Linked DNA regions of Xenopus tropicalis. The protein of the gene in region 1 interacts with the protein of each later gene in a pairwise test. Links are inferred from orthologs where the notes say so. Each region holds a gene or a part of one and is shown on either strand. Other genes may lie near its edges.

Region 1 (8,124 bases):
GGAAGCAGAAGGGAGCCGGCAGGTAAGAGCAGCAGACGCAATGCGTCTGCTGCTTGGGGGGGGGGGCCCTGCGACGATCGCGTTGCAGGGCCGGCCTGACAGCCCCCCTGGCTCGTTGCCCAGGGGGCTGTCATGCTTAAAACAGTTAGGGGGCACAGTGTGGCCCCCTAACATTTTGTGACAGGTGCAGTTTGTGTCCCCAACATTTTGTGGCAGGTAGTGTGTGTGGGGGTGGAAGTGGGATGGAGATGGCTTATCTGATCTGTAGATTACTCTTGAGACTGTGCTGCCCTGACTTTAAGTCACACTTATACCTCCCAACTGTCCCTGTTTTTGCAGGACAGTCCCGATTTTAACATCTTAGCCTGCAGTCTTATCAAAAAGTCCCTCTGATCACCTGCGCTGAATGCTAAAAGAGATACAAAGTTTCTCAATTAGATAAGTAGGCTTTTGGCAGAGAGCCCAGAATACTCAACACCTGCACTTAGCTAGAATTATAACTAATAAGATAAAGAGGTCTCTTGGGGGAACCGAGACTTGCATTTTATTTTGACATTTCACATGGGGCTAGCCATAGTCTTCATTTCCCACGGTGCTACAGCCATGTGACCTCTGTTCTGATAGACTTCTGTCACACTGTACTGCTGCACTGCAAGTTTGAGTGATGTCACCCCCTTCCTTTCCCCCCAGCAGAACAATGGGAAGGGAGCAAGGTAACAGCTCCCAGTAGATATCAGAATAGCCCTCAATAGTAAGAAGTCCAGCTTGGGACTCCTCCAGTTACAGAACATGGGAGTAGGAGAAACAATAGATTACCTGAAAGCAGTTCCATTGTGTAGCGATGGCTCCTTCTGAAAGCTCAGACTTGGGCACAATGAAGATGGCTGCCTACACACCAATAATTTAGAATGTAATTTAGAAATTAAAAGTTACACCATAAAAATCATGACAGAATGTCTTCAAAGGTCAATTTCACCTTTATTAGCAAAACTGTAATTACACATAAAACAAGACCCCAAAACCCCCAGAAATATGTTAAAACTTTACATAACCTGCCAAATTTAAAATGGGAGTGGTATTTAGAGGGTGTGGTCAAAAACATTTTCTGCCATGCTACGCGTGCATTTCTTTTTCTCCCTCTTTGCATTTTTCAAAATGTAAGGAAGTATGCTTACTGGAACACTCTTAGCATTACAGTAACCTGAGAGAGCAGATCCAGTGAGAATTCCAGTGAGTGTAAATAACAGTCAGGGCAGCAAAAAGTACACAGTAAATTGCTAAAGATGCTTGGGAGATGTTTTGTGATTAAAGGAACAGTAACACCAAAAAATAAAAATGGTTTGCCGACTTTTTTAAAAGCAAAGTCGATTCTATCCACAACCATTTCTCACAACCTTCAGTTACCAGTAATCTCAACCTTCCTAAATCTCCTCTTTCTGTATTCAGCTTCTTTGATCTTTGAACAGAGTCTGAAGTTTCTCAGCTTCTCCGTTTCTCTCGCCTACTACCTGCTCACTGGATCCTATGCCCTCATCACCATTAAAACCTGCCTATATAACTTTTGTCCGGTCTCTCTCCTACCCCTAGCCTCTAAACTACTGGGACGTCTTAATTTTTTCTAGTGTCACTAACTTCCTCTGCACCCATAATCTTCTGGACCCTATGCAGTCTGGTTTTCGGCCTGCGCACTCCACTGAGACGGCCTTATGTAGAGTGGCAAACGATCTCCAGACTGCCAAGGCCAAAGGACACTACTCAGTTCTCATTCTCCTGGACCTTTCCTCTGCTTTTGATACTGTTGACTATTCTGTCCTTATGCAAATTCTCTATTCTCTGGGTATCAGGGATCAGCCTGCATCCTAGTTCTCTTCCTATCTTTCTAACCGCTCCTTCTCTGTTGCTTTTGCTAACAAATCCTCTACCCCAGTTCAGCTTAGTGTGGGGGTGCCTCAGGGCTCTGTACTTGGTCCTTTGCTGTTCTACTTATACACTCTCTCTTTAGGAGACCTTATCTCTTTGTTTGGTCTTAAATATCACTTATATGCAGATGACATCCAGATATATTTAAACACCCGTTCACTAACCACTGATGTTCAAACCCAGATTGCTAACTGCCTCCTGGCTATCTCCTCCTGGATAAACCAACGTCAACGCTAACCTAGCTAAAACAGAGCTCATTTTCTTCCCCAAAACTTAGCCCTTCTCCTCCTTCAACCATTACCATTGACGGCATGACCATTCAGCATGCTGCCTTAGGGTTATCTATAATCAATCTCCTTCTCTAACCATATTAATAACACTGCCGAAAAATGCTGTTTTTTCCTCCGCAATATTACCAAGATATGCTCCTTTCTTTCATAAGTAACAGCTAAAACACTAATCCATGCCCTTACCCTTTCCCGCTTAGATTACTGCAATCTCCTACGAACCGGCCTCCCAGACTCCCACCTCTCTCTCCTGCAATCAAACTTAAACTCTGCTGCCAGGATCCTCCTGCTCTCTCCAAAGAGGCAATCTGTTCAGCCCCACAATCGCACTAGCATTAAGCAAAGGATAGCATACAAAATCCTTCTGCTAACCTTCAAAGCCCTTCACTTCTCTGCTCCTCACTACATTTCTTCACTGGTCTCTCTGCACATTCCTGATTGTCTCCTCCGCTTCTTATAGAGCCTCCACCTTTTTCCACACCCACTGCTCTCTCTCGCCTTAAACCTTTTATATCCTGTTCCTTACCTCTGAAACTCTATCCCTGAATTCCTCCATAGTGAACACTCACCCACTCTCTTTAAGAAAAAAACTCAGATGCTACCTTCTGGAGCACTAAAACATTATTTTGTCTAGTCTCGCGCTTGTGCACTCCTACCTTCCAATTTTCCATTCAAGCTGGAAAAAAGGCACAGGTTATATAAGTAGATAACAGATAAGCTCTGTAGAATACAATGGGAATCTATGCACCTCATCTGTTATCTGCTGTGTAACCTATGCCTTTTCTCCTTTTTTTTAGTTTGCACAGCAACTTTGTTTATAAAAACTACAGTAGTGTATCTAATGCAAACACATAAATTTTACCAATGCAGGGCAATATTACATAATACATGAACTACTTTGAAACACTCTAAATTTTTGGTGCTAGTTACGGTGGCCATACACGTAACAATTTTGATCTTTCGAAAGATCGTTCCCACCCTCCATGGAGGGTAGAAATAACAGAAATTCTACCTCCTTCTGCCGATTCAGCCCTTAACATAAATTTTGCCCGGACGGCATCAAAATCTTTTAACGTGGCTGATCAACGAGTCAACCGATATCCGCAGCCTCTTACAATATCGGTGGCCTCATCAAGCCGCAAAACACGCACCGAATCGCGCCCTGAGGCCGCCCCATTCACAGTGGAAAGAAGTCTCCCATTGCTCCGTATGGGAGCAAATTTCCGGTGCAGCGGGACGGCATGCCACCCCTAAATTTTTGCTGCCCTAGGCCAGGGTCTTTGTGGCCTAGCCACACACCCGGGCCTGATAAGTGCGTGTACAGCTAGCTTTAATCTTCTCACCCCCTGTAAGATTAAACGCATACTCTGCTTGCCTCCTAACTCACTCTTAACTGCTGGGATATGAAGAGACAACCTCCCTCATCCTCCCTGCTTTTCGGCCTCCTGTAGGAGCTCCACTGTGGCTGATCCTTTGAAATAAGATACAATTCCCCGCTCTCTCCCTCACCCAACGCCATCCCCCGGTCTGATTTATTCATTCTTGTAGTTTCAAACACAGCGTGGATCCAACACCAGCTATGCAGTATCATGCAAACTGCTAACATCTTGTACTTGAGAACCGGAACGGTTTTTATGTTACTGCGCGTGCGCATTTTTTTTTTCTTCAATATATATATATACTTTTATATCTATTTCTTCCGCCATGGTAACCACTGACCAATGAAAGCAGCTTCCGCCTCTCATGTAGAGGTAGTCGAGTGCCTGTTGTCAATGTTAGCCAGTGTCGACCAATTAAAAAAGTTTTTACCACTATAAGCCGCGCCTTATTCCAATCAGATTGAGAGGCGAGTCTAAAGATTTGATTGGCAGCTGAAGTAGCCAACGCGCGCTTTGCTCCACGTCTGCAGGATTGAGAAAGATGGTTGATGTTGTAGGTAAGTGAGGCTGCGGGTTTTCGCTTAATGGAAATGTGTGATTTTAATGTGAAGGTGCCAGGGAAGCTTTTGTTTTTTTTTTTTTAAATTAGTTAGTTGCCAATTGTCTTTAATAGCCATGCTGCTGTGTTGAAGAGAAGACGTCTCTTTAGGCAGTATTAGTGCAAGCTTTACTTGATTGCTGCTTATCCATGACTTCCAATATGCTGGCAAATATCGGAGGTGGCCTTAAATAGCAGTTCCAGTATAATGTCACCCGCATTCTATTTTCATCAAGGATTTCCAAGTTGAACCATACTACCAGCTGTTCTAAACTACAACGTAGTGTTCGAGTGATACAAGGCTTTGCCCCAACTGGATGTCTGATCAGTAATTACTAGTAATCTACTTGCATTAAAACAAATGAAGCCTTTATCTGTACTGCTGGCTTGACAGCCACGTAGGATGGATTTTAAAACCGTGCAGTTTAAAGGCAGAATTTGGCAGCAGTGTTAATATTAACATTATATCTGTAAACTTAGCTGACAAACAAAATGGCAGCATACATGCACAGTAAGGAGTTAGGCTTATTGTACATGCACATGTCACTTCAGGATGCTATTTCCTAGTGTGGTCATGTGATCATCCACCTGATCTCCAGGACTTTAGACCACCTAAGAACTAGCATATGCATGCAACTATTTGCTCCTATTTCACACACATGTATATATAATTTTTTTTAACACCAAGGCCAGCAAGCAGTATTTAGTGGTAGCTTCTAGATGTGCAAAGCTGGTAGAGACATACCCTAAAAGACTGGCAGCTGTAATTGCAGCAAAAGGTGGTTCTACAAAGTATTGACTCAGGGGGCTGAATAATTATGCACACCCCACTTTGCAGTTATTTATTTGTAAAAAATGTTTGGAATCATGTATGATTTTCGTTCCACTTCTCACGTGTACACCACTTTGTATTGGTATTTCACGTGGAATTCCAATGAAATTGATTCATGTTTGTGGCTGTAATGTGACAAAATGTGGAAAAGTTCAAGGGGGCCGAATACTTTTGCAAGCCACTGTATTTCCAACAGTGTCACAACTCACACAATACCTATCACATCCAAATAAAAGGAGAAGGAAAGGTTAAAACTATTTAAGCTTTATCAGAAATGTCTAAGTATAAACACCAATAAACACTCACAGTAATGCTGCTCTGAGCCCCTGTGAAAAGAAACATGTCATTGCTTTGCTTCTGTTGTTCACACATGGGCTTCTTTATCATACTTCCTCTCTAGCTAAAACACCATACCCCGGGAAGCCTGCCTGTGCAGCTCGCTTCTTTCTCCCCTTCTTGCTATAAACTGAGCCCAGAGCTATGACCCAGCCAGAGACTTAGTGCAGGAGGAATTGGAATTTATATCACACAAAGCTAATATAGCAGCTATTATCCAAAACAAACAGAGATAGCTTTTAGGGCTGTTCACTGAGGTATGGTAACGCATTCTACAGAATAAATATAGCTTTCTAGCTTGCACTATTGTGGCTAATCTATTGAGAGTATACAGTATCAGTAGGTTTCCTTCTCCTTGAAGTTGTTAGTCGCTGTGAATGCCACTATACACATACAAGTACTGTGAGGGCCAAACACTGAGATACATAGTCAAGAAATTTGACTGACTTTGGCCTTACAGCCTAAAGCTGGCGATACACGTGGCGATCTGACGATGTTTCGTGCGACCATCGGTCGCACGAAACATCGTCAGATGTGCCACACACCATTCAGGGCTGAATCGGCAGGTAAGGAGGTAGAAACAATAGGATTTCTACCTCCTTCTGCCGATTCAGCGCTGAAGGGAGATTTTGATCAGGCGCCTTCTATGGCGCCCGATCAAAATTTTCCAACTGGACCGATCGGCGTGTCGGCCGATATCAGCAGCTTCCTGCGATATCGGTCGACTCGCCGACATACCATACACGCACCGAATATCGTACGAAACGAGGTTTCGCACGATATTATCGGTGCGTGTATGGCCACCTTAAGCTTGCTTACTTTTCTAAGCCCATATTTCAAGTTTATACAAATCAGCCTGCAAAATCTGGTCTTCCATCACCTCCTATTGGCTAATATTAAAGCCATATCTGACCTGCAAAAAGAAAGAAACTTTGTAAAATACAGTAATTAAACATTTTCTATGTTTTAAAGTTATTTGTAAAAGCAATTGAAAACAGTTTTTGGTTCTATTGCTCCAAATCTTTAAGACACTTCCACTGCTCTGCATATTGATTGTACTTCCTTTATACACCTTTAAAGTGGACCTGTCACCCAGACATAAAAAGCTGTATAATAAAAGTCCTTTTCAAATTAAAGAAAAAACCAAAATCATCTTTATATTAACACATTCAAACCCATTATAAAGGCATTTAAAAATCCCAGCTGTCAATCATATATTAAGGCATAGAGGCGGGGCAGACAAGTACTTTAACTTTCAATTCAGCTCACACTTTCCCCCTCCCTCCTCACCATCTAATTGTGTAGCCAATGCATGGGCCTGGGCATCTGGTCCCCCATTCTGGCACATACACACGATTTTGGGGTGATACAAAGCTTGCCTTAATAACTGTGTCCACAAAATTGCAGCTGCCTATTTGATGTGATTGTGTAATTCCAGGACTGAAGGAAACAAGATTTATATTACTTATATAGTGTAAGTGAAGTTTATTTTGCTGAACAAACACAATAGAAAATAATTTAAAATTATTTCTTAGGGTGACAGGTCCCCTTTAATCTTATTATGCTTATTTGCCAGATATTTTTTAATACTGATTCTGTTTGCTGTCTTCATATTTTTTTTTTTTTTTTATCTACGTCTGTCTTTTTCACGTCTTTTTTAATATGCAAGGAACTCATTTCAGACTCCCTCTTTTCTTCTACTTTTATATAAAAATCAGAATGCTAAGCTGATCTGTTACCATGGAGAAATTAGGCATGAGTTTTGGAGGTGGCCCAAGTAAGAAGGAACTTCAGGAGCAGGTAGAAACTCAACGGAAGCAACTACAACAGTACCAGGGTCGACTGAAGGATGTTGTGCGAGCATACAAGAGTCTTCAGAAAGAAAAGGAGGCCCTTGAGGCCAGTCTCCATGTACTTTCCACTACTCAGGAGCCAGGCACTCTTTTCTCAGAATCTGAAGAGGCACATGATGACCAACATTCCATACACAGTGAGGATAGTGTGGACACAGCAGGTAGTCTTCCCAGTGCTAGAGGAGGTGAGACGAGTGAGGATGAGAGACCAGATCCTTCTCAACGAGGTGGAATAGAGGAGGCCAGTGGTTCAGAGAGTGGGGTCAGCACTGCCAGTGGAGAGGGAGGTCAAGCCACAGCAGTTGAGACTGACCGTAAGATGGTGCAGCTGAAAAACCAGCTTTCTACACTAACTAGGTATGTAACTTAAATAGGTTGTTCCCCTTATTACACTTAATTTATTAATTTTTTAAATTTGTGACATACAAAGTTTGTTTATATTAAAGATAAAGGGCTAAGTGTCAAACAAACAAAACCATGTAACAACCCCTTTAACTGTGTTTTAAAGGAGAACGAAAGGCTAAGTCACCTGGGGGTGCCCAAATGTTAGGCATCCCCAAGTGACTTAGATCGCTTACCTTGTACCCTGGGATGGTGCCCCTGTTAGGAGAAAAAAGCACCAGCCCAGGGTACCTGTAGGAAGCGCTTCCTCCTTCCTCTTTCTTCTCCCAGTGAAATCCGTCGGCCGGTGCATGCGCAGTAGAGTAAAAAGCCGACTTTGTTTTTAAGTTCGGCTTTTCACTCTACTGCGCATGCACGCGCAAGCGAATAGGAAGTAGGAAGCGCTCGCTGCTACCCCGGGCTGGTGCTGTTCTCTCTGTACAGGGGCACCAGCCCGGGGTAAAAGGTAAGCGATCTAAGTCACTTGGGGGTACCTAACATTTTGGCACCCCAAGTGACTCAGCCTTTCCTTCTCCTT
Region 2 (8,007 bases), on another chromosome or scaffold:
CTGTCCTACTTATAAAACATTAAATGAGAACTATAGCCTAAAATAGAAATAGCATATGGCTAGAAATACTGTATATTTTATACTGAACTCACTTTACCAGCTCAGTGGTTCAGCAGCCCTATGACAGAAACAATCCATGCCTTTGAAGCTTTTCTCAGCAGTTTGCCATCTTCATATCTTTTTTGTGTGTCAGCGGCTCAATGTTCCCTGTGCTGCTGTTGAGATGCTATGTTTAGGGAGTACTGAAAACAATCAAAAATATTTATAGATAGTGGTTACAGTTGTCATAGAAGCTAAAGCTATAGTGCTAATAGTCACCATGTCATGTACAGATTATGTATTTTATAATCAGCCTTGTATTGTAATATTGTGTATATATAGTGTATTTTTTCAGGTCAATGAGCTCAGGTAACAGTCATGAGTTCTAAATATGTACTTTAAATCAGAAGAGGAACTAGAAGGGGAACTACAAGGAGCAACTTTGAGTACATATGTTGACTACTAAAGGGCTGTGATTGCTTTGTGCTGGTACAGAAACCCAATACAATAAGATGCAACATGTCTAGCCAAATTATTTGTTGAGTTTCAGTTATTCTAAATGTTGCAGTCATTTAAGGGCAGAATTATCAATATTTTGATTTCCATGATTTTTAAAACCACAACTAAACTCATTTCCACTAAAACCACGAATGTCTAGTGATTAATTTAAAGAACTGAATTGAAAAAGCATGAATAAATTAAAATGCAGCCGAAAATGTAAAACCACAAAACCACACATTTTTTGTGGTTTTTACGGTTTTTCCACAAATCTTCATGGAATTACACATGTAAAAAAAGCAAAAACCTCAACAACCACAAATTAAATACACATTGTTACAGTTTGCCTAGGACAACTCCCTTCCAAGTGATATCGACAGCTTTAAAATGGCAATGTTTTTTATTAGTATTTTTTTGTGGTTCTTATGTTTAATAAGTCATGAAAAATTTAAGTTTTAGCACAAAAAAAGGAATTGTGAAAAAAAAGAAATATGAACTTTAGTTCTTCAATATTAGTCTTCATTGGGGGCATAAATGCAGACAAACTGAATGGCACATCAGGATTTATTTGAATGAAAATCTTTTTGTCAGAGATCTAGTTCAGTCAGGCCTTGTGGTTAAAGGAACTGTAACACTAAAAAATAAAATGTTTTAAAATAATTAAAATATGATGTACTGTTGCCCTGCACTGGTAAAAGTTGTGTGTTTGCCTTAGAAAGACTACTATAGTTAATAGAAATAGCTGCTGTGTAGCCATGGGGGCAGCCATTTAAATTGAAAAAGGAGAAAAGGCACAGGTTACATAAGAAGATAACAGATAAACTGTGTAGAATACAATGGGAAACTATGCTACTTATCTGTTATCTGCTTAGTAACCTGTGCCTTTTCTCCTTTTTTAAATGGCTGCCCCCATGGCTACACAGCAGGGTATTTATATAAGCTGTAGTAGTGTTTATTAGGAAAACACACAACTTTTACCAGTGCAGAGCAATAGTATATAATATATTATTTTTATACACTTTCATTTTTTGGTGTTACTGTTCCTTTAATACAGTCTGCAGTGAGTCCTATATTGCTGAAGTTAAAAAAAAAAGTACTGGAAGCTGCTGGGGTTCTATAGCATTTGCAGATGGTGGTAGTTCAGACTGATAAAACAAACATGATCCATAATGCTCTTGTATTTCTTCCTTGATATTTTATTCACTCACTCCTCTATTCAAAAGGATCATTAGAAGTTTTGACTTACAGAAGAGCTGAGCTTTCTGTTGCCTTTAAGAAGAACAATTTCCAGCACCAGCAAAAGAAGGCTGTGCCCAAACTACTGGGTTTACTTTAAGTACATGACAAACAATGAAAAATGATCACAAACATGATGTGATCTGACCTATGCTTATGTCTAAAGCACTTTTCCTTGATATTTTATTCACTCAACGCTGTATTCAATAAGATCATTGGCAATTTTGACCTTCAGAAGAGCTGATCCTTTTGTGGACTTTAAGCAGTTGCAGAACAATTTCCAGCACCAGCAACAGAAAGCCATGCTCAAACTACTGACTTTAATTTTAGTTCATGACAAACTTTATAAAGCATTGGAAATGTCATGTAATCTGGCCTGTGTTTAATTATAAAGCATTGGAAATATCATGTAATCTGGCCTGTACTTAAGACTAAAACTATCTGGGTTGTGGTAAAAACCTTTCCACTGGTGGACTAAACTTATCTGATCCAATTGTTTAGAACCCAATGTAATGATCAGGAGCCCTGCAAACCAACAGGAAGGGACTGCATCCATGGTCAGATATGCTCCATGGCAATTGAGTGTTTTAAACTTCTGGATCCATCTCTGACCTTTATAATCATTTTATAATCAGAGGCCATCATTTTGATAACAGGCCAATAGGCAGATTATGTCTTTTTTTAAACTGAGCTAACAAGAAACCATGTGACCTTGAATTAGGGAAGCACTAAATTCATAATTTGTTATTATAAATGCAGGAGACTTTTCCCCCAAATTTTGAGGGTCCTATGATATTTATGTACATCCCCCATAGCTTCTAATTATGCAACTAGGCAGTATGATTACCAAATTCAAGCCATTTCTAATTTGCTGTGTTCCTTGTTAAGTTCTTATTTTTATTACTAACACTGGGCTTATATGTTCATTATCGCTAGGCTTTACGGATGATAAAAGAGAGGGCTGGAACGGTCACCACCTTCGTCCCTTCTATTCCCACATTCCTCCATCTCAGTGTCTCTCTGTTGCTAGGAAACGAGTTTTCAAATGAGGATGCAGCAGGACGGCCAGAAGCGCGTATTCCAGGGTTCCGCCTACCTATGTTGTGCGCATGCGTTTCCCATGGATTAGTGCGTGGAAGTGCATATCCTATTGGGCACGCCGCCTTTTTTTTGGAGCGCGTTCTCGGATTTTTTTTTAATTATAGTTACGCGCAGGGCGCGCTCCCGAGGATCGCTTCACCATTCCATCTCTCCGCAGTGTAGCGGGGCTCCAAAAGGAGGAGGATGTGGTGAAAAAGATGGCGGAGCTGCAGATGCTGCTGGAGGAAGAGATTCCGGGCGGCCGGCGGGCCCTGCTGGACAGCTACACAAACCTAGAGAGGGTGGCCGACTACTGCGAGAACAATTACATACAGGTCCGACTTTTTAGAGCTGTGAATGTGATGTAGCGCTAGACAGGGGCAAGGGAATACTGGACTGGGCTTCTCGTACACCGCCGATCTGCAGCTTTGTATAGATGTGATTGCGGTCTATGTCCCGGCATCTCTAGTTAGGCTTTCCTATATAGAGGGAGGGATGCTGGGACTTACAGAGAAATGACTAGTGAAATGCAGTGTGATGATCCTGAGTATAATGAAAGCACCGTGATGGGCAGGCACGTTGGGATATGCACGCACATTATAGTGTAATAATCCCACTCTTCACCCTATTGCAATATTGACCCTTACGGGTAGCTGTGCAAGCCTTGCTGTCACGTCACCATGTATTTATATATAGCATCACGTGGCACACACCACTCTTCCTACAGGCAGGGGGGGAGATGTTATTACTGCATTTTCTATAGCAAATGACATCATATTATGTGGGAATGTGCAGTAAAAATGTAAGATTGAGGCAATTGAGGTTGAGTGTAAAGAGTGCAATCTTAAACCTCCTATAATTGCCAAAATGGCCAGTATCAATATTGAGCCATAGGTTGCCCCCCAAGAATAGGTTACTTTGCTTCAAATCCACCCCCCCCCATTCACCAGTCACATGGTTCATTCAGTCAGGAGCATTATACTGGAATACACCTACACTTTATGGGCTGTTGGGTTATTCCAGACATGTCCACTATGCCAACTATGTGTGTGATGTTAGGAAGCTACTAAGCAATTGGTGAGATTCAAAATATCTTGGTTATGTTACCATTTAGTGTACAGTTGTAAAGAAAATGAACCTGCATACCTGTTCTGTAGGTAAGAGCTGGCTATAAGCAGTAAGTGCAGTGTATCAGAGCTGAGCCTATACTCCTGCCTATGGAATATGTAGGTTTTCTCTTTCCTTGTTTTGGGCTGCATGCCCTGACCCCCCATGTCACACGTTTATTAAAGCTGATTCTTAGGCTGTTAATTTTTCACACAGACACCAATGTATATTTTTCAGTCATGGAATACATTATTTGTCATATTGTGAAATGCTTATCTTTCATATATATATTTAATTGTAGTTTTATGGAGTAGAACACTGATGAAATGGTATGGGCTTTATATACAGTTATGCAGTGACTGCCCTAGGGTTTCATTACCACAGGGAGCATGTAATTAATGTGTGAGACATCCCTGATTTGTCCCTTTTTTATTAATTATGCAGGTTTACATTAGGAAATGCATCTTACGTTTCCCATGACACATATGTGCTTAGCTGTTAAAAACTCTTGTGGAGCGTCTGCATACTGCTTGGAAGGTTAATTACAACTATGTGGTGGTTTGATGTGGCTGTTTCCTTTCTGACTACCAAAAGGAGATGAAGCACACTTTACTCCTTCCAACACTCAGTTGAATGGGAAGCAGTTACACTTCCAATTGCTTAGAGGGGTCGTTCACCTTTGAGTTAATTTTTAGTATGATGTAGAGAGTAATATTCTGAGACAATTTGCAATTGGTCTTTTTTTATTATTTGTAGTTCAGCAGTTTTCCAGTTTGGAGCTTTAGCAGTTATCTGGTTGCTAGGGTGTAACTTACCTTAGCAACCAGGGTGATGTTTGAATTAGAGACTGATATATAAAGAGGAGAGGACCTGAATCAGTGACCCCCATTTAAAAGTTGCCAAGACTTACAAGAAGAAAGCAAACAATTCAAGAACTATAAAAAATAGTTTTTTTCTATGTTGAGTTTTGGCATCTGTTCCTTTCAGTAAATAACTAATAATAACTTGTATAGGCACAACACTTGCACCTTAGTATGTCTTACAGAGCCACAATGATCAAATAGATTGATGTATATTCATTTCATCTGTTGATTTCAGAAGTTCTTGAAAATGAAATAAAAATTAAAGAAATCGGATTGGTTAAATCGAAACCTGTTATCCAGAAAATTCTGAATTATGGCAAGTTCATCCCCTTAGAATCCATTATAAGCAAATAGTGCTTGATCCTGACTAAGCCACAAATCCATATTGGTGGCAAAACAATTCTTTTGGGTTTATTTTGGGCTTTAATTATTTTTAGCAAACATAAGGTGTGGTGATCTAAATTATGGAAAGACCCCTTATCTAGAAAACCCCATGTCCTAAGCATAATAGATTCACTATCTGTAATACTTAGTTTTGGTTTGTTTTTTTGCCGATTCAGTAAATCACGTTATCATGTTGATCTTGACTCAAAACGGAATTGCAAATGTAAATGTGCTAAAACTACAAAAAGTAAAATGCTTAGAATTGACCCAATAATGAATGATGTATTATATATGTATTAATGACCTAATATTGCCAGCATTGGGCTTAAATTTTTTAATATAGAAGGTTTGGAAAGTTGTTTAAACCTGGAATAGTGAGTGGGATTTTTTTTTGTCTGTGTTGTTGGTTTCTTATTCATACATTTACCTATGACTGGTAAGAAGATTTAATTTAAGACAGGTTTGGGAGCTGGCTGAATTTTCTCATTTTTGGGATTTGCTAGAACCAGTTGAAAATTTACTGGCCAAATAGCAAAAATACATTTTTTTTGCTCTAGAACCTTAACATTTTAACAGAAAAACTTCAGTTCATATTTTAATTTGTTTATTAGGGTTCTGGTTTAGTCCAAATATTTATGTGAAGTATTATGTATGTATGCCTCCCTGCTATAAAGCTATGGTGTTGACATCCCTCATGTAATATTTTAGTGCAAACCAACAGGGAGTTAATAGCTGTGTTCACCATATTCTGCTGCAATGACCTGTAGGGGTTTCAGTGTAAATCCAATGAGAATGTGCAATAAAAAGAAAATGAGAATTGATTTCTACTTATTATCATCTCAAAAGAATTAGCATAAAATTCATGTTCAGGAATACTTCCTTTGGTGAATAAGAAAGAAATAAGGAATATTTTATTAAGTGATTAAATAAAAATGTAGGTGCCATTTTTATTATTTGTGCATCATAGTAATAAATATGTTGAATTAGGGCTAAATTTCTTCTACCTGGATTCATTCATTTATTTTTTCTATTTGTGAATTTAGCCTAAGAACTATAGCACCCTGCTGTTACAGCTTTTAATTTTAGATTTAAACAGGTCACCTACAAAAGAATTGCCCTTTGTGCTTTCAGTTAAATATTTAATTGATTTAAAAAAAAAAAAAAATTTTAATTGCGGGCATGTACATGATTTATTTTGTGTTGTGCTCAGTGTAGAGCTGCAGTAGTTGAAGATGAAAAGACCATTTTATTTTATTCTTGTTTATCACTGTCATTGAGTGGTTTTGCACTGCAATTCACTGTTGGCCTGTTTGGAGAATAAAAATAACTAGGAGAACACGCAATGCAGCTGTGTGCAATATGTATGCCTTTTAGCCTTCCTGTGGAAACATTTTTGTGTCTGTACTGGCAGTTGTTGTAATTGGTGTTTAATTCATGAGATGGCTTACCATATTGTTCTCCAGAAAAAAAATGCAAAATTAGTACAGGGCATTGCTTTAGTTTTAACACATGAGCTACTCCATGTGATCATCTTTATCAAATATCACATTATGATTTTTCTGGCTTTTTCTTGTCCATTTGAATTGTACTCATGTATTCCAATTATTAACATTTCCTTGGTATTTCTTCAAGTTTCCGTGTAAAATGTTAATGTTTTTCTCACCTATCAAAGCCTTTGCCATTTACCACACTGACTTGCAAGGTTTAAGGAAAACTATACTTTCATAATAAATATTTCCAATGGTACATACTAATAAAGAGTTTTTATGCAAATGCTTTATTTAGATTAAGCAGGGTTTTACATATGAGCTGTTTTATGCAATATATTTTTATAGGGTCATTGTTCAGGGGTATCAGTTTCTATTAATGCAGTTGAAATCTATTATTTCCTATGACAGAATACATACCCAAACTAATTCAATTAGAACAAATTAATTTATATGTCAAAATAGAACAACATTGCTTTTTTAACTCAATATAGGTCTACTGGGCGACTTTAAAAATTAGTTAATATTTTCTGTGTCGTTAACCGCTAGGAAATCTGAAAAATAAATATAAATAAGAAAGTGATTGCCGATCAACAGCAGTCCAGCTCACCCACCACAGTGACCTGTGAAAAGGGGTTCAACAAGACCAGGGCCCACCAAGTTTTTTATTTTCCAGTACATTGTTAGGCCAGTCCAACCTTGAATTCACAGTACCTCAATATCCCACTTTGGGTGACAGTGTGCATATGCTGTTTGCTGTTCACCAAGATGGCTACTGGAAATAGAAGCGACACAGCTAAAGGTGGTGGTCAATGCTGTCAAGCAGCTCTGTAGTATGTACATGCTATAGGGACACAGATAAGTTGGGGCAAGTGTCAGTGATTTAAAAGGTGGGCACTGCTGCTAAAACTAAACGTTTGCCAGGGAGGCTTTACTTTTCCTTTAAATAAAGATTTATACAATATATACAATAAATATTCATGAAGCTAAAACTATCATAATACTGCAAATGTGAGGTAAAACCTTTTTATATATAAGATTGTATAAATTAGGGGCAGATTTACTAAAAATTTGATTTTTTTTTTTTTGTTTCTTAGAAACTCACTTAAACTCCTGAGAGTTTTTTGGTTAAAAAAATCCATCTATGATGTTTTTATTAATAGTCAATTTGTAAGTTGATCTGCAAACTTACAAAATGTTTGGGAAAAGATTTCTCAAAAAAATCTGAGAATTTCGGTGCAGGATTGGAGAATATATTGGCATTTCTTGAAAACATTGTGAAATTTAAATGGATGTTCATTTCCATGAAACTT
Region 3 (8,038 bases), on another chromosome or scaffold:
ACTGGAAAGGGCAGGTGGTGGGCCAGTCCATAGTCCTATACATAGAAAAAGTCCCGGTGGGATGAAGTGAATATGAGATGCTCCACCTCAGCAAGTTCTGAAGCAAGAGCGTAATATAAGATCTGTATCTGGGAAGGAATATTACTGGGCGGATGCTGAAGAAAAGAAAGGCATGGAACCCCATACTGGAGATTGTATGTGATTGTTGGAGCAATGTTTGGTGAGTAACACTGCGCAGGGCTAAGCAGGACATCACTATCAGGGTTCTTCTATTTGCGGGTCCATCTGCTGAGGGACAAGCAACAATTGAGGGACTTCACCAGCTTTGCTTAGTGGTGCAGTTCATTGAACAATGTGCCCCTGCAGTGAGAGTGTGGGTTTGGGATCTATTACCACTCACCCTAGAGGAAGCTGCTAGACTGGCAGATAAGTTTCTGGAAAGAGTCCCACCAGATCTGTAAATTTTTCCTAAGTAGCTCTGATTCCCAGTGAATCAGGGCCTCACCCTACTGAGGGGAGCCCCATCAACACACATCCACTGGCGGGAGAGCCCCATAACCTGCACTTACCTATCCTGCAGAGTTCAAGCTTCTACTAGGAATTACGTTCAAAGGGGCAGAATGATGATGAGAGTGCTGCATTTAATGCCCAGAGAGTTGGACTACAACAGACCAACCCTATTATTATGGAACATCATTTGTTATCTAATGAGGAGGAAACAGCAGCTTCTCCGTTTGATTCTGCCTTCCAAGCAGGTGATGAGCGAGTCACAGATTCTGTGATCGATCGAAATAATAAGTGGATTGCTGTTTTAGTGCCTTTCTGCTGCAGATCACCTGTGGGTCCTTGAGCTGGCTTCTCAGGAGGTCCTGGGTACAAGGCAGAACCAACAATCTCTTGCATTGTATTCTTCTGGATCCATCCTGAGGTCTGAGGTCTACAAACCAGTAGTGAAATTAACACATGCTACCTTTCTCACATTTGATGACAGACAGGAGGGCATTGATTCCTACCTGAAAAGCTTTGAAATAATTTGTGAGGATTACAATGTTCCCTGGGAAGAGTGGCCAAAAAACCTGGCAGGCAAGAAAACTGGCAAGGCCAGTGACATCTACAGGGAATTACCCTCAGCGGACTGACTAAGAAGAGGTTAAAAGATTTATTCTTCAGGACCCCATGGCTTAATGGGAAGACTTTCTGTGGAAGGTGTATCAGAGCTGAATTCTCTGTAAGGCAGAGACACAGGAAACATATAAATATGCATTAACTGGCCCCTGCAACATGGAACTACAGATTTAACCAGAATCCAGCCAGACCTGTACATTTTTCCCAAGCGGTTTTGATTCCCAGTGCGTCTGGGCATCTCCCAGAGAGAAGAAAAGACTGCATTTTAAATCTACTGCTTCAGCTACCCTTCACCCATTATTGTTTAGACCGTGTATAGATTTTTGTGGGATGCTGGAACTACCTTTCTGTTATCCATAGGATGATTTGTTGCTGCTGTGTTACTTTACAAAATAAAGTTAAAGTGTTTTGTGGTTACTCTCCAGTGTTCTTCCATATTTCTGTTAGGTCATTTTCATGACACTCATCATTTAATTTTATGAATTATAATATAAGAGCAAAATAAATATGTAAAAATGTAACACATGAAGAGTCTGATGTGTGTATGTATTAGGAATGATGGAGTTAGACGTTGCCCATATACCATGTAGTTCTGAATAACAGGGAAACACACAAACACACAGCACCACATTTATATCCAGCAATACAGAGGGAAGTATCTCTGATTCTATGTTACAGTCACTCATAGCTGAGAGGAGGTAGGTTAGGAAGGATATGTCAGGTTGACATCCGTAAAGATGTCATGGCTTACCCTTAGCAGAGTTAGATTTTCTTCCGTGCTCTTAGGATGAAAACATACATTCAAGCCTCCGTAAATATCTCAGGTAGTGCATCTCCCACTTGAATATATAGATGAAAAAGTCTAGAAATTCTGTGCTCAATAAGCAATACTTAGGCTGAAGTACTGTACTCACTTCCACTTTTAATGGAAATTATACTGATAGTAATACAATATATACACACTGTGTTTTCCAGTAGTACAACAAAAAGAAGCTTTTAAACCATGACCCAACCCAAATACATGTGATTTTACTAGAGGCAGCTGAAGGCAAAAACCTTTATTCACACTCAGAGTCTCTTCAGTTTTTCCCACGAGCTGGAACCCTATGCAACTGAAGGCACAACTCAGAAGGCTTTCCTTATTTGCCTGTAGTTTATCGCTGTAACTGAAGATGCTTTAGCACTTTATTACAAACACACCATGTCACACACAACACGTTTGGGTTTTTTATCAATTGTGTTATGAGTAAATAGGTGAAACCGCAAATATGTTATAAAGTGCTAACTGCAAAATATAAGGCCTATGGCATGTGTAATAGGGGACATAAGAAAAAAACCTGTTGCAAATCAAATATTTGATTCTAAATATTTACTTGTGGACATTCCTTTTAAGCCTTTCTTAACCTGAAGGTACCGCATGAAGGGCCAGGAGCAGAGCATCTAACTCCTTTCACTTATAGGCAGGTACATCATATACAGTAGTAGAACTTGCTTAGAATTACAGAGACACCAGTCTGCAAACACAATCATACATAGGCACCAATGGCAGATATACCAACCCTTTGCACTTTCAAATGCCAAGCCACTTGGAGAAGTGGCTTCTCTGGGAGAAGACACCTACTATATATTGCAAGGCATTGGTTGCAGTTCCAGTTTAACACAACACAGGGTGACAGGAACAAAACACTGATAGGCAAATAGAGAAACTACACCCATCAATCACTGTAGAAAGTAGGGAAACAGTGGGTTACAGTGGGGACATTGCTAGGTACCAAATGCACCTCAGTAAAAGCCTGTACCCACACCTGTAGGGAACACCTCTCTACTCCCTTCTAATGTACATCCTACTGTCGTTTTCATGCCTTCCACTGCCTTCTCAACTTCCCAACACTCTTCTGCCTTTTCCCTTTTATACATGCTTTTCTTTTTAGAACATTTTTTTCCCTCCAAACTGTTTTTTCTTTTCCCAATTTTTCTTTCCTCGTCTCTCGTTTATGTTTTTCCTTATACCAAATACATGCCACCTTTTTTGAATATTTTTGCTTTGCTGGCACAAGGCGTACTGCACAACCAACATTGTTTGTCCAATATTTAATAAGGTTTGGAATATGTACAACCATATATTAAATATAAATACGCAACTAACCTCGTATTCTTCGACGTAGCTCTTTCCTGACGCAAGGTGGCAATATGTCACCACGGCCTCTCTTTCCAGCAGTCCCCGTCCTGTTGGTAGGGCGCTTTCCGGTTTAATGGCGGCTTTGGTGCTCAAGCGCTGGGGCTGAAGCCGAGGGATGAAGCGGGAGAGACGTAGGGGGAATGCGGCTTCGGAGCGGAAAAGAAGAGCTCAGGTGGCGGTACCGGAAGGGATCAGATCTGTGGGCTGTGCCGTGCAGCTGGGCCGAGATGAGCGGATCCAGGGTGAGAGTGTAGGGAGGAAGAATGTATGGAGGGATACAGCTTTCAGAGTTACATGGATGTAGAGGCGCAGAAACGTGTTGGTCTGTAGACTGCAATACATAAAGTGGCATATTTATTCATTTTGGACAACTATTCCCTTATAAATTAACCAATCAAATATTTGCTTGTATCCTTCCTATTTATGTGTGAACATAGCTGTGATATGTTACTATGGGTTATTGTCTAGGAGCATATTTATGTATTAGTAAATATAAACTAGAAAAAACAATATAGCAGCATGTAGTGGGTTTTAGTGTTTGTCACTATATGAGTTTGCATTAACTTCAAAGGCTTCCCTTATTTGTCTGTGGTTTTTGGTTGTAATTGAGGAAACTTTGACACTTTATTACACACCATGTTTGCGTTGCCCCGTCCCTTTATCAAGTGATGTGAAAGCAAATATAGGAAACCCCAAATATTTAATAAAGTGCTAATTGCAATGATTCTGCTTCACCCTCCTGCTGTTTAGTTCCCTTTTGGGTACCATGGTACTATGACAGGGTATTATTAGAGCTATTTGGTCATATGGGCATCTCATTTGTGGCTTATTTGGCATGAATAAGGCTGCAGTTTGCCACCAGAAAGGATGTACAAACTCTTATTTGTGTTCTTTGCCATTATAAATACTCTTTCTTTGATTCCTATTGGCTTTCAGGCATTGGCAAGACTGTGGGCACTGGGTACTGCCGTCTCTGTCATGGCAAGTTCTCCTCTCGTAGCCTGCGCCATGCTTTTGGGAAAGTGCCAGTGACAGGTCTGAGCTCAGAGAAGCAGAAGCGCCTGGACCATGTGTTCTTTGCCGACTTCCATCAACTGGTGGGTGTATCTGTGCGTCAGGATCCCGAGCTGCCGCAGTTTGTGTGCAAGCACTGCCATGCTCAGTTTTACAAATGTCGCAGTGTGCTGAGAACTTTCATTCAGAAAGTAAACACTTCGCCTACCAACCCTCATGGCAACAAATCTGAGTGAGTGTTATTCTGCTTTTTTATAGCATCTCCTCAAGTCACTGGGAAAGTAGCTCTTTGCATTGAAATGGCACAAAATACTGTGAGAAGTGTTGGGGCCTGAAGTGAAAAGCAGCTGTACTGAGAGTGACTTAGTATTCTGTGTTGTTTAATGGAGTTGTTGCAGGATAATATGATAAAATGTGCTCGCTTTATAAATATTTGTTACTTTCAGTTCATTATAATTTATGCATTGGTTATTATAATAGGTAAAGCCTCCATTATCTGTTTGTTAATATGGGTGAGAACTATAACGCCAACTAATGAAAGTGCTACAACCTTTGCTTACAAAAACAAACTATAATCAGTATGGCTGCATGTAAACTTACATAAAAGAAGGCAGCCAGCTTAGACACCCTGGAGGACACAAAAATGAATGAACTGCATGCCAAAGTGTCCCCTTTGTGATAAGCTGGCTTGCAGTATGACCTGATAGTTGTTGTGGAGCAAAATGGTTCAGATCATTCTGATTTGCCCTAGATTGTCTGTGGGAAGTAGAGACCTTATCAAACAAGTGTTTTTTTCCACGCATGCCCACCTTTACTTAGGGGCTGATTTACTAATCCACGAATCAGAATGGGAAAAATTCGGATTGGAAACGAACATTTTGCGACTTTTTCGTATTTTCTGAGATTTTTTTAGTCGCCGTTACGACTTTTTCGTAGCCGTTACGATTTGCTTGTATATTGTCGCGACTTTTTCATATTGAGCGATTGTAAACGGTGGGCAAAACTTTCAGACTTTGCATGATTTTGGAAGCCTCCCATAGGACTCAATGGCACTCTGCAGCTCCAACCTGGCCCAAGGAAAGTCACGATACTGAAGCTTGAATGAATCCGAAACTTTCGTACTCGGCGCGACGGCTACGAAAAAGTCGCGACAATTTGCGCAAGTCGTAACGCTACAAAAAAGTCACGACAATTTATGAAAAAATCGCAAAATACCGATCATTGCGAAAAAAACGCATTTGGATGCTTTTCGGACGTTCGTGGATTAGTAAATGTGCCCCTTAGTATTGGTACACTCTATATTGTTTTTTCCGTAGGTACAACATCAGGCAAGTATATGTGTATTGTGGCTTTTTAATTGTATGCTGAGTATCTTTACTTACTAGGTGCCAGAGTGAACCACTAAAACATGCCGGGGGTTGAGCTATGAATCTTATACGGATTTGTTCATGCTTTTCAGTAATTTTAAGATAGATAATGCTCATTGCTGCATTTTTTTCATTCAGCAAACACTGGGCAGTCGCCATTCCTGCATTTAAGCCCCCGAGTATGTAGCCAAATTATACATTCTGTGTGGTTGCATGTCTCAAAAATCTTGTGTGTGACCAAATAATGCAGACATGGAAAATCAGCTCAAATCTACTGTTTGCTACGCACAATTGATTTTATACTAGACATCCTATGTAAGGACTACATTTATTTTTGGGATCTATGTTAGCCAAAATATTGTAAGGAAGCGGGAATAATGCTTTGGGGCTATATGTGTCCTCTAGCAACTGTATCTTTTCTTTTTGTTGTCCCAACAGCAAAATACATGATGTCATCGGTTCTACCACAGGTCCCTGTGCAGGTAAAACATTAGCTTATTGGCCTTCTTCCCTTACATACCAAATTGTGTATGCCATAAATAAAAACACAATTTTTTGAAAAGGCAGATAGTATTTATTTTAAACATTCTGTATACTTGTATACTTGTATTCTTGTATACTGCATACAAGTATTATGTAGTTTACTTATGCCTCCCTGTTTACGTACAGTAGAAGTGTATAAATAATTATATATATAATTATTATTAAAGCTTTCATAATGGCTTGTCTGTAATCACATGGTTACTTTATATAAGTTTTAATTTGTGTAGTGTGATCACTCACAATTCCACACAGATTTGTGAATGCTTTTTCTTGAATTTATAGATTTAATCACTTCAACTCCTGAATGTCTACATAGCCTGGTGAACTGGACACACAAACATGCAGGAGGCTGCTCCTTCCTACCTATACTGCAGAGGGTGATGGCCACACAGTACTGTGGTATTATACAAGCAGTGTGGGAGTGTGGAGGGGGACATGACTATATCATGCAACCAGATTCAGATTGCATCTCCTCACCTGCTCAACCAGAGGAGGAAATGAGCCCCGAGCAGGGCTTAAGTGGCAATGGAATACACCGTATTAACACAAGGACTATACCTGATTCAGAGTACAACCCCCCTGATCGAATAAACACCGCATCTGTGCTTCTTGATACCTGTGTTGTAGTAAATCATATCACGCAAAACAGAACACCTTCTCCACCCTTGGCTGCTCCAGACTCATCACAAGGTAAGATAACCTGGCCATATGTTTAAAGATGGTGGCTAAAACAGCTGATCCAAACCTTGGGCCATCAGGTAAATGATTGGATCACCTGGGGGCCAGAAAAATCTGAGTGGTTTATTATGGGTACATTGACCAGGGGCTCTTGATTTATGGAATTTTTCTCTGAATAATCCCCAGCCAGGGGTCCTGTACACAAGACATTGGACTGCAAATTTAGTTGGCAGTGACCATATTAGCAGCTGGCATTTGAATTTTGTAGAGTTGGAATCAGAATTAGATAAAATGGTCTCTGCAGTATTTTAAAATATATTATTTTTATATACATAGTCCTACATTTCTTGTAGAAATCAATATTTAAAGGGGATCTGTCACCTTAAGAAATAACTCCAAATTATTTTCTATATTGTTAGTTGAGCAATAATATAATATAAATCTTGTTTCCCTCCGTCTTGGAATTACTCAATCAAAGCAAGTAGGCAGGCACCATTTTGTGGACACTGTTATGAAGACAAGCTTTGTATCATGCCAAAATCTTGTTTATGTGCCAGAATGGGAAACCTCATGCCCATGCACTGGCTACACAATTAGATGATGAGGAGGGGGGGGAAGTGAGATGTGCAGTGTCATCTAGGTAGTGCTGAATGGAAAGCTGAAGTTATTGTCTGCCCCGCCTCTATGCCTAAGGCATAGAGACGAGGCAAGCAATATATGATTGACAGCTGGGATTTTTAAATGCCTTTATAATGGGTTTGGATGTGTTAATATAAAAATGAATTTGGGTTTTATGTTTAATTTGAAAAGGACTTTTATTATACAGTTTTTATGTCTGGGTGACAGGTCCTCCTTAAGTCACTTTTCCACACTTTCTCTTCCTTTATTACACCTGCCAGATGGGTGTAAGCATTTCTCTGCTCATGATCCTGCACAGGGTCAAAGCTTTTTTTGCATTCAGTCCTATCAATTTTATTTTTCCTCCTTAACCAGAACTAAGAGCTGAGCATCTCTTTTAACACACAAAATAGCACTGCACTGCCTTTTACTTGGCTGTAGGCTGCCAGTGTGAAATCCCTGGTTATTGTCCCTTAAGTGAACATGAGGCTTTTCTGTTTTGTAAAATTCATCA
Region 4 (7,348 bases), on another chromosome or scaffold:
CCAAAATATTCTGCCGTGTAAATGTCCAGTCTGTCTAAAGCTAGCTCATAACAGCAGACTGTTAGTACACGTATAGCAGGGGTCCCCAACCTTTCTTACTCGTGAGCCACATTCAAATGTAAAATGACTTGGGGAGCAACACAAGCACCATAAAAGTTCATGGAGGTGTGATTGGCTATTAGGGGCCTCTATGCATACTATCAGCTTACAGGGGGCTTTATTTGGTAGGAAATCTTGTTTTATCCAACGAAAACTTGCCCCCAAGTCAGGAATTCAAAAATAACTCCCTGGTTTGGGGGCACTGAGAGCAACACCCAAGGGGTTGGGGAGCAACATGTTGCCCCTGAGCCACTGGTTGGGGATCACAGGGGAACTTCATCAGCATCAGTTGTTGATGCTGCTGTGCATGTTTCCATGTAGAAGAGCTTTTTGCAAACTAAGATAATAACAGCCTTGATTAGCTTCTCTTATAGAGCATCATATATGTTCTGCACTGTATAAGTACTTTGGAAAACAAGCCTCCTGTACTTAACAATCTTTGCCAGAATTTGGGGGAGGCTAAGCATAATACATAGCATGTTTTAGGCACTGAAGCAGTGTCCTGTTGTATGAACAGTGCTGTTTACGTGCGTATATGCACTTATTTTTGTATAACTGGAATTAAAATATTATGTTTTCACATTAATTGTCCTACTTAAGTCTATTATTGCCTTTGTAGAAGCTATTAGAACCAAAGAAATAGGGAAAACGTTATATGTTCACCTGCTATTATTTTATTTGGTATATACAGGTATGGGACTTGTTATCCAGAATGCTCGGGACCTGATGAGGGATCTTTGTCATTTGGATCTCCATACCTTAAGTCTGCTAAAAAAAAATATTTTAAACATGAATTAAACCCAACAGGAGTGTTCTGCCTCCAATAAGTATTAATGATGTCTTAGTTAGGATAAGGTACAAGGTACTGATTTATTTTTATAGAAAAAAAAGAAAATAATTTTTTCATTTGAATTTTGATTAAAATGGAGGCTATAGAAGATATGGCCTTCCTGTAATTCAGAGCTTTCTGGATAACGGGTTTCCAAATAACAGATCCCATACCTGTATATCAAATTTACACACATTTAAAGGGATACTGTTATGATTTTTATGGTATGATTTTTATTTCTAAATGACACTGTTACATAGCAAATAATTCCCTCTGCCATTTAAAATTGTATTCTTGAACCAACAAATGTATTTGTAGCTGTAATATTGGTGTGTAGGCGCCATATCAGTGCATTGTGTCTGAGTCTGAGCTTTCAGCCAGCGCTACACATTAGAACTGCATTCAGCTACCAGGGGTCGGGAACCTTTTTGGCTGAGAGAGCCATAAACACCACATATTTTAAAATGTAATTCCGTGAGAGCCATACAATACGTTTGGCTGTGGGGCAAGGTAGGGTGGGTGCCAAGGATGCCGGATGCGATGCGGAGGAGGGCGTGGCCTGCGCTCGGCAGATAGAAGACGCGTTTTAAGGCTTAGAACACGTGTTCTATCCGCTGGGCGCAGGGGCAAGGTAGGGTGGGTGCCAAGGATGCCGGATGCGATGCGGAGAAGGGCGTAGCCTGCGCTCGGCGGATAGAAGACGTGTTCTATCCGCCAAGCGCAGGTCACGCCCCCCATAATTTTTTTTTATTAAAGATTTGGCAGAGAGCCAGATGCAGCCATCAAAAGAGCCACATCTGGCTCCCGAGCCATAGGTTCCCTACCCCTGAGCTAACCTATTGTTTCTCCTACTCCTATGATACCTACTGGGAGCTGCTATCTTGCTCCCTTCCCATTGTTCTGCTGATCGGCTGCTGGGGGGGTGGGGGGGGGAATATCACTCCAACTTGCAGCGCAGCAGTAAAGTGTGACTGAAGTTTATCAGAGCACAGGTCACAGGGCTGTGGCACTCTGGGAAATGAAGAATATGGCTAGCCCCATGGGAAAAACAGATTACAACGCAGGATTCTGCTGGAGAAGCTCTAATAACTGATAGGTTTTTTTAAAATACATGTTTTCCTATGACCGTATTCCTTAAAGTCACATGACACCATTTTGCTTTTTTAGAAAAAAATCAGTGAAATCGAACAGAAACTGAGAGAGGAGGAGCATCAGCGCAAACTTGTGCAGGAAAAAGCAGCCCAGGTAATAATACTGTTTGCTCTTCAGCTTGCGATCCTGTCTGAAACTTGGTGATCTCATTACTGTATGTTGTTGTTATAGTATAAAGGCAACTGTATATGGAATGTGTAAATTTAAGTAGCTCAAGGGTAAGCCAAATGATGTAAAATCACTCTGCTCTTTTGCCTGCAATAGCTATATATGTGTAGTGCAAGTGACTGCCATACTTCCAATCGTCAGTTACCTGATTATAGGTGGACAAGCACAGCAGGCAGTGGGGGGATTTGGTACCAAAATCAGGTTTTTTATGCTATTGCCTTAACAACATTAATGTGATTGCAATAAGAAAGCTTATCAAAACAGTGAATGGAACTTGTTTCAAAACAATACTAATAAATAATAAATATTTAGTTGCCTAACAGTGCATTAATAAGTTGGTAATATGAAATACAAATGATTAGATGATTAATACATACCATGCCATTTGCAATGGAACTTGGCATAACCGGACCAGTTTTGTCATAAGTTACTCTCAGCACATTCTACAGGGAGGTGCCTAATTTAGTTTATTTCCGTTTTTGTATAAATAAATACATTTTTATCTAAAATATTTTCTTTCCTCCAGCTCCAAACAGGGTTGGAAACCAACAGAATTTTGCTCCGTTCCTTAACACCTCCATCAAAACAAGTGAAGGCAAAAAACATAAAGTCACTGCAGCTGGAAAAGGTATTTGGTCCTTCCGTGCTGCTAGTATTCTTTGTGGGCCTACCTAGAGTTTGGTTCTAGTGCACCCTCTTTGCTCTTTATTTATATGCTGTGTTCTTTCTTCTATTCCAGAAACCCACCTTTTCCAGTGTTTCACACTTACAGCCCCACTATCGCCTGAGCTTAGGAGATGTGCCCTTTGTTGCTGGAAAGGTAGGTATTAAAACCTTAGTCTTAATTTTTTCGATAAATTTTCTTTTAGGGAATCCATTTCCTATTTGATGCCCTTTTACATGTGCTTACGTAACCCAAGCTACCTTTTAAGAGAGCTGTACATTTGACAATGGTTACTCAGCAAGGCTGAAACTGGACACACTGAGTGGCAATAAATGTGGTACTGAGGGTTGGACGTTTTCTGGCCAATGTGGTGGAGGGCCGATAATGGAAGCCAGTTTTGACTACCCCCTTTTTTTACACTGCACCCACTTCAAACCACACCCATGTTATCACAAGAGCTTTTAAAACCATACCCACAATAATGGTGGTTGCGCAGCTAAAACACAAATAGTTTGTACTTACTGCAGGGATATCACTTATCACTCATACGTGAAAGAAGATTAATATGTCATATTAAGCCACACTCTTAGCCACTCCTCCCCTGTGGGTACCACAGAAAGGCACATAATTACACACCTAGGGATCCCATGACAACTATTTCCAGATGCTAATAAACTCCCAGAACAAAGCCCTGCCAGATTCATCTCTGACGAGCAGCATAGGGCAGGCAGGGTATGGCACACACAGGCAGGGTAGGGCAGGCAGAGTATGGCACACACAGGCAGGGTAGGGCAGGCAGAATATGGCACACACAGGCAGGGTAGGGCAGGCAGAATATGGCACACACAGGCAGGATAGAGCAGGGAGGGTATGGCACACAGGCAGGGTAGGGCTGGCAGAGTATGGCACACACAGGCAGGATAGAGCAGGGAGGGTATGGCACACACAGGCAGGGTAGGGCAGGCAGTGTATGGCACACACAGGCAGGGTAGGGCAGGCAGAGTATGGCACACACAGGCAGCATAGGGCAGGCAGAGTATCACACACACAGGCAGCTTAGGGCAGGCAGAGTATGGCACACAGAGGCAGGATAGAGCAGGGCAGGAAGAGTAGGTGATGCGACAGGGAAACCTGCAACTGGTCATGACCACTTCAACAAATAAACAGTTTGTACTGTACAGTGACACAATGCTAGCACTGCTCCTACATTCTGTGGGCCAGATGCTGGCAGTTGGACAGTGCCGCACTAGATTATAGAGCTCTCTATAAGCATATAGAATGTGTCTATTGTCTTTTTGCACATGTGTTTATTTTGATATTTTTGGTTCTAGTCCACAGGCACTAGCTATTCCGTGAGAGCCAATGTCCAGCATGTCTTGCACCTGATGAAGCAACATAATAAACTCTTGTGCAATGACCGAGTTGTGAGCGATCAGCCTGTTGAAAGGAAAGAGAGTGCAGTAAGGTGGACACCAGACCCAGTTTTATCTTCTCGCTCTTACCAAGACCTTTCAGAGGTTTTGCTCACACTGGAGGATGAGTTTGGGCAGATGAGTTTGTAAGTTGTTTCAGAGCTTCAATATTGAACTTTAAGCACATCATCTGCATTATGATGAATCCCTTTCCTCAGTTTAAATGGTTAATTTAAAAAAGGCTAGAGCCCTTGCAGGGGGAATATGCTCGTCTGTGCTTGGCAAAAGAGGATTCTGATAACCAGAATCCATGGGACCCACAGGGCTCTCTGGGAGATGGGCCCTTTGTAGTGAGTTTGTAAAAGGTTTGTGAGGTTAATGACATGATGCTGGATCTGTTGAGGTAGCTCAGAACTTGCACAGCAATCATCCCTGTTATCATAAAAGCTTGGTTAGACACTTTGCTAAAAAAAAAAAAAAAAAAAAATCGTGCATTTGCATGAGCAGCATATTGGCCAAATATTGGGCAGATCTCTTATCAGACAGGTGAGAAAATCCCCTTGGGTGAGGACCACATCAGCATACTGGTGAGATCCTCTCCCAACAGGAAGAGACCTAGATGCAAGTCCCTAAAATTTCCTGCCAAGACTTGCAGAGTCCCTTAAAGGAGAATGAAAGGTAAAGTAAGCTTTATCAGAAAGCTCGCAGAAACGCTGCACTGAGTCCTCTTTTAAAAAAAAAACAGGATTTCTTGTCTCCTTTTTTGTAAACCTGTTCTTAGGGTATCTGACTTCCTCTCTTAGAAAAATCCTTCATTCCTGGGGCCGAAGTCTGCACACTTCTCTCTCACCCTTCAAACTGTGCTGTAATCTGAGCTACCAGCAGCTAGAGCTGCAGCACGAAAGCTACTGAGACCAAGCTAAAATGTCAGCTGATAATTATTAGTAATGTTTGTTCAAAATAAAATCTTATTTAAAAAAAAAATGGCAGCTGCTATCTTAAACAAACAGATGGAGCTTCTAGGGCTGTTTACTCAGGTATGGTAAAGCTTTCTGCAGAATAAATATAGTGTTCTAGGTGGCAATATTGTGTCTGATCTATAGGCACTAAAATGCCTTTCCTTCTCCAGTGATGCCCACTGTGCTTTAATATGACCTTGATGTTTAAACTGCCCAATAGACAAACCAGATTAGTAAGAGATGAAAGAAATATCCCAAAAGGACAAGAGAGAAGCAGTGCAACAATGCCCAGCTTATCTATTCTTGCCTAAAAAGAAAGAAGAGGTATCTAGATGGGTGGTCCCAAGCTCAGATCTCCTCTCCCACTATAGGCCTCTCTATAGGCTAGACATCCAAGGCTCCAGCATCTGGAGACGCTGTAAGAGCCAAGATTAGTTAAAGCTGGATGAGGTAAAAGTGCTTTTTGATTGGTTGTGTTCTGGAGGGTGAAGTCTGTGGCATTGGGATGTAAGATAAATTTATTTCAGGGCAACTGACATAATAGTTAATTCAAACAATGTGTCTTCTAGTGACCACCAAGAACTGGTAAAACAAATCCAAGAGGCGCACTCAGATCACTTAAAGGAGGATCTAGAAAGAGAGCTGGAAGCTCTTGTGAAAAGGATGGAGGCAAAAGCAGACCAAATCACTAAAGTACGGAAACATCATGCAATGGTGAGTCTCCAAAAAACTTTCTGAGCAGGATTGAATGGGGTGTCAGTGGGGCCTTTAATAACTTTATAAATGAGAAGAAACATGGCAGTCAGTACATTTGCCTTTGTGTGCTGTTGGATGCCTTGAAAGCAACTTACAGGCTTTACACCTGCCATATATTAAAGGAGAAGGAGAGGTACAATCACTGGGGGGTGCCAAATGTTGTAATCACTTACCTGGTACCCCAGGCCGGTGCTCCTGTTGGCAGAGTGAAAAAGCTGGCTTTCTTTGTTACAGTTCAGCTTTTCACTCTTGTGAAAGTGGCGCTAAAGAATGAGAAGGAATAGGATCGCTTACTCGCAGGTACCCCGGGCTGGTGCAGTTTTCTGCAACATTGAAACTGGCCTTTCCTGTTTTCATCAGATTGCCACAATGTAGAAAATTAATATAAAACAAATCTGATTGGTTACTGTGGGTAACTGCACTGGTGCGACTGAGTGAATCTGCTCCAGTGTCTCTTATATTGTAGACCTTCATACATTTATTTGGTATTATATGATTCTAATGTGTTTGTTCTTGTTAAAACGTTTTTTCTCTTTCCAGCTTGGAAAATTATTTGGGCAAGCCAAGGTTAAAAAGAAAGCGACTACCGAGGAACATGCAAAAGAGAGAAAGCACTTTAGGGATGGGAAGGAGGCCCACGTGAGCAAAGACAAACCTGGGGAAAGGAGCAGGAAGAGCCTGCAGCTGCTGAGGGACATGCAGACCTTGCAGACTTCCCTCCAGAAGGAGGACATTAGCTGGGACTGCTAAATAGTCCCTCACTCACACTGTGAGATATGTCTCAGGGAAAGTGTCTGCATTGCCTCTCTCCTTCCTTCTCTTGTCCTGCCTCGCTGCCCACAACATACACAGCTTGCCCTTTCTGTGCTCTCTGCATTGGTGAGAGGGTGCAAGGGCATCGGGGGTCCATCACCAAAGCCCACCTGAAAGTGCCTGCAGATCCTTGCTTTGCAACCAGTATCCCATGGCAACCGCTAAAGGGAAACAATAATTAGCTACCTTAATTTTCTACCTTTACTACTTTTAATTTACTACCTTAAAGTAACACCTCAGGCTGTAACCCTTTGCTCCCCAGTTCTTCTGCATTACAGCATTCTAATTTGCCCCTGGTCTGTTCTCTATTGGAGGCCTCCCGTTATCATTCCAGAATGCATTGATGGTGCTACAGGTTTTTACCTCAAGAAAGTGAATCTGCAAAACTCAATGCAGCAAATGCAACTTCAGACTGAACACAACAGGAGGAAAATATCATTGTATTATAATAATGGATTTCTTCCTCCTCCTCTCCAGTGCCTTTCTCTATATTAGT

The links.
Region 2: the proteins of gcc1 (region 1) and abi2 interact in binary tests that used the Homo sapiens proteins (3 or more experiments, as listed by UniProt). The link is inferred for Xenopus tropicalis from reciprocal best matches to the Homo sapiens genes GCC1 and ABI2.
Region 3: the proteins of gcc1 (region 1) and znf276 interact in binary tests that used the Homo sapiens proteins (3 or more experiments, as listed by UniProt). The two-hybrid records come from large-scale screens. The link is inferred for Xenopus tropicalis from reciprocal best matches to the Homo sapiens genes GCC1 and ZNF276.
Region 4: the proteins of gcc1 (region 1) and cep57 interact in binary tests that used the Homo sapiens proteins (3 or more experiments, as listed by UniProt). The two-hybrid records come from large-scale screens. The link is inferred for Xenopus tropicalis from reciprocal best matches to the Homo sapiens genes GCC1 and CEP57.

The regions. Positions count from the first base shown.
Region 1 is NC_030679.2:89,145,922-89,154,045, forward strand, and holds the start of gcc1 (GRIP and coiled-coil domain-containing protein 1), read left to right. Parts: upstream 1-4,034; 5' UTR 4,035-4,143; intron 4,144-7,070; 5' UTR 7,071-7,092; coding exon 7,093-7,562; intron 7,563-8,124. UniProt on the Homo sapiens protein: Probably involved in maintaining Golgi structure.
Region 2 is NC_030685.2:54,196,852-54,204,858, forward strand, and holds the start of abi2 (abl interactor 2), read left to right. Parts: upstream 1-2,989; 5' UTR 2,990-3,071; coding exon 3,072-3,188; intron 3,189-8,007. UniProt on the Homo sapiens protein: Regulator of actin cytoskeleton dynamics underlying cell motility and adhesion. Functions as a component of the WAVE complex, which activates actin nucleating machinery Arp2/3 to drive lamellipodia formation.
Region 3 is NC_030680.2:59,516,399-59,524,436, reverse strand, and holds the start of znf276 (zinc finger protein 276), read left to right. Parts: upstream 1-3,308; 5' UTR 3,309-3,419; coding exon 3,420-3,546; intron 3,547-4,240; coding exon 4,241-4,550; intron 4,551-6,123; coding exon 6,124-6,167; intron 6,168-6,510; coding exon 6,511-6,918; intron 6,919-8,038. UniProt on the Homo sapiens protein: May be involved in transcriptional regulation.
Region 4 is NC_030678.2:164,698,576-164,705,923, forward strand, and holds part of cep57 (centrosomal protein of 57 kDa), read left to right. Parts: intron 1-2,095; coding exon 2,096-2,173; intron 2,174-2,774; coding exon 2,775-2,876; intron 2,877-2,987; coding exon 2,988-3,068; intron 3,069-4,243; coding exon 4,244-4,470; intron 4,471-5,852; coding exon 5,853-5,997; intron 5,998-6,579; coding exon 6,580-6,789; 3' UTR 6,790-7,348. UniProt on the Homo sapiens protein: Centrosomal protein which may be required for microtubule attachment to centrosomes. May act by forming ring-like structures around microtubules. Mediates nuclear translocation and mitogenic activity of the internalized growth factor FGF2, but that of FGF1.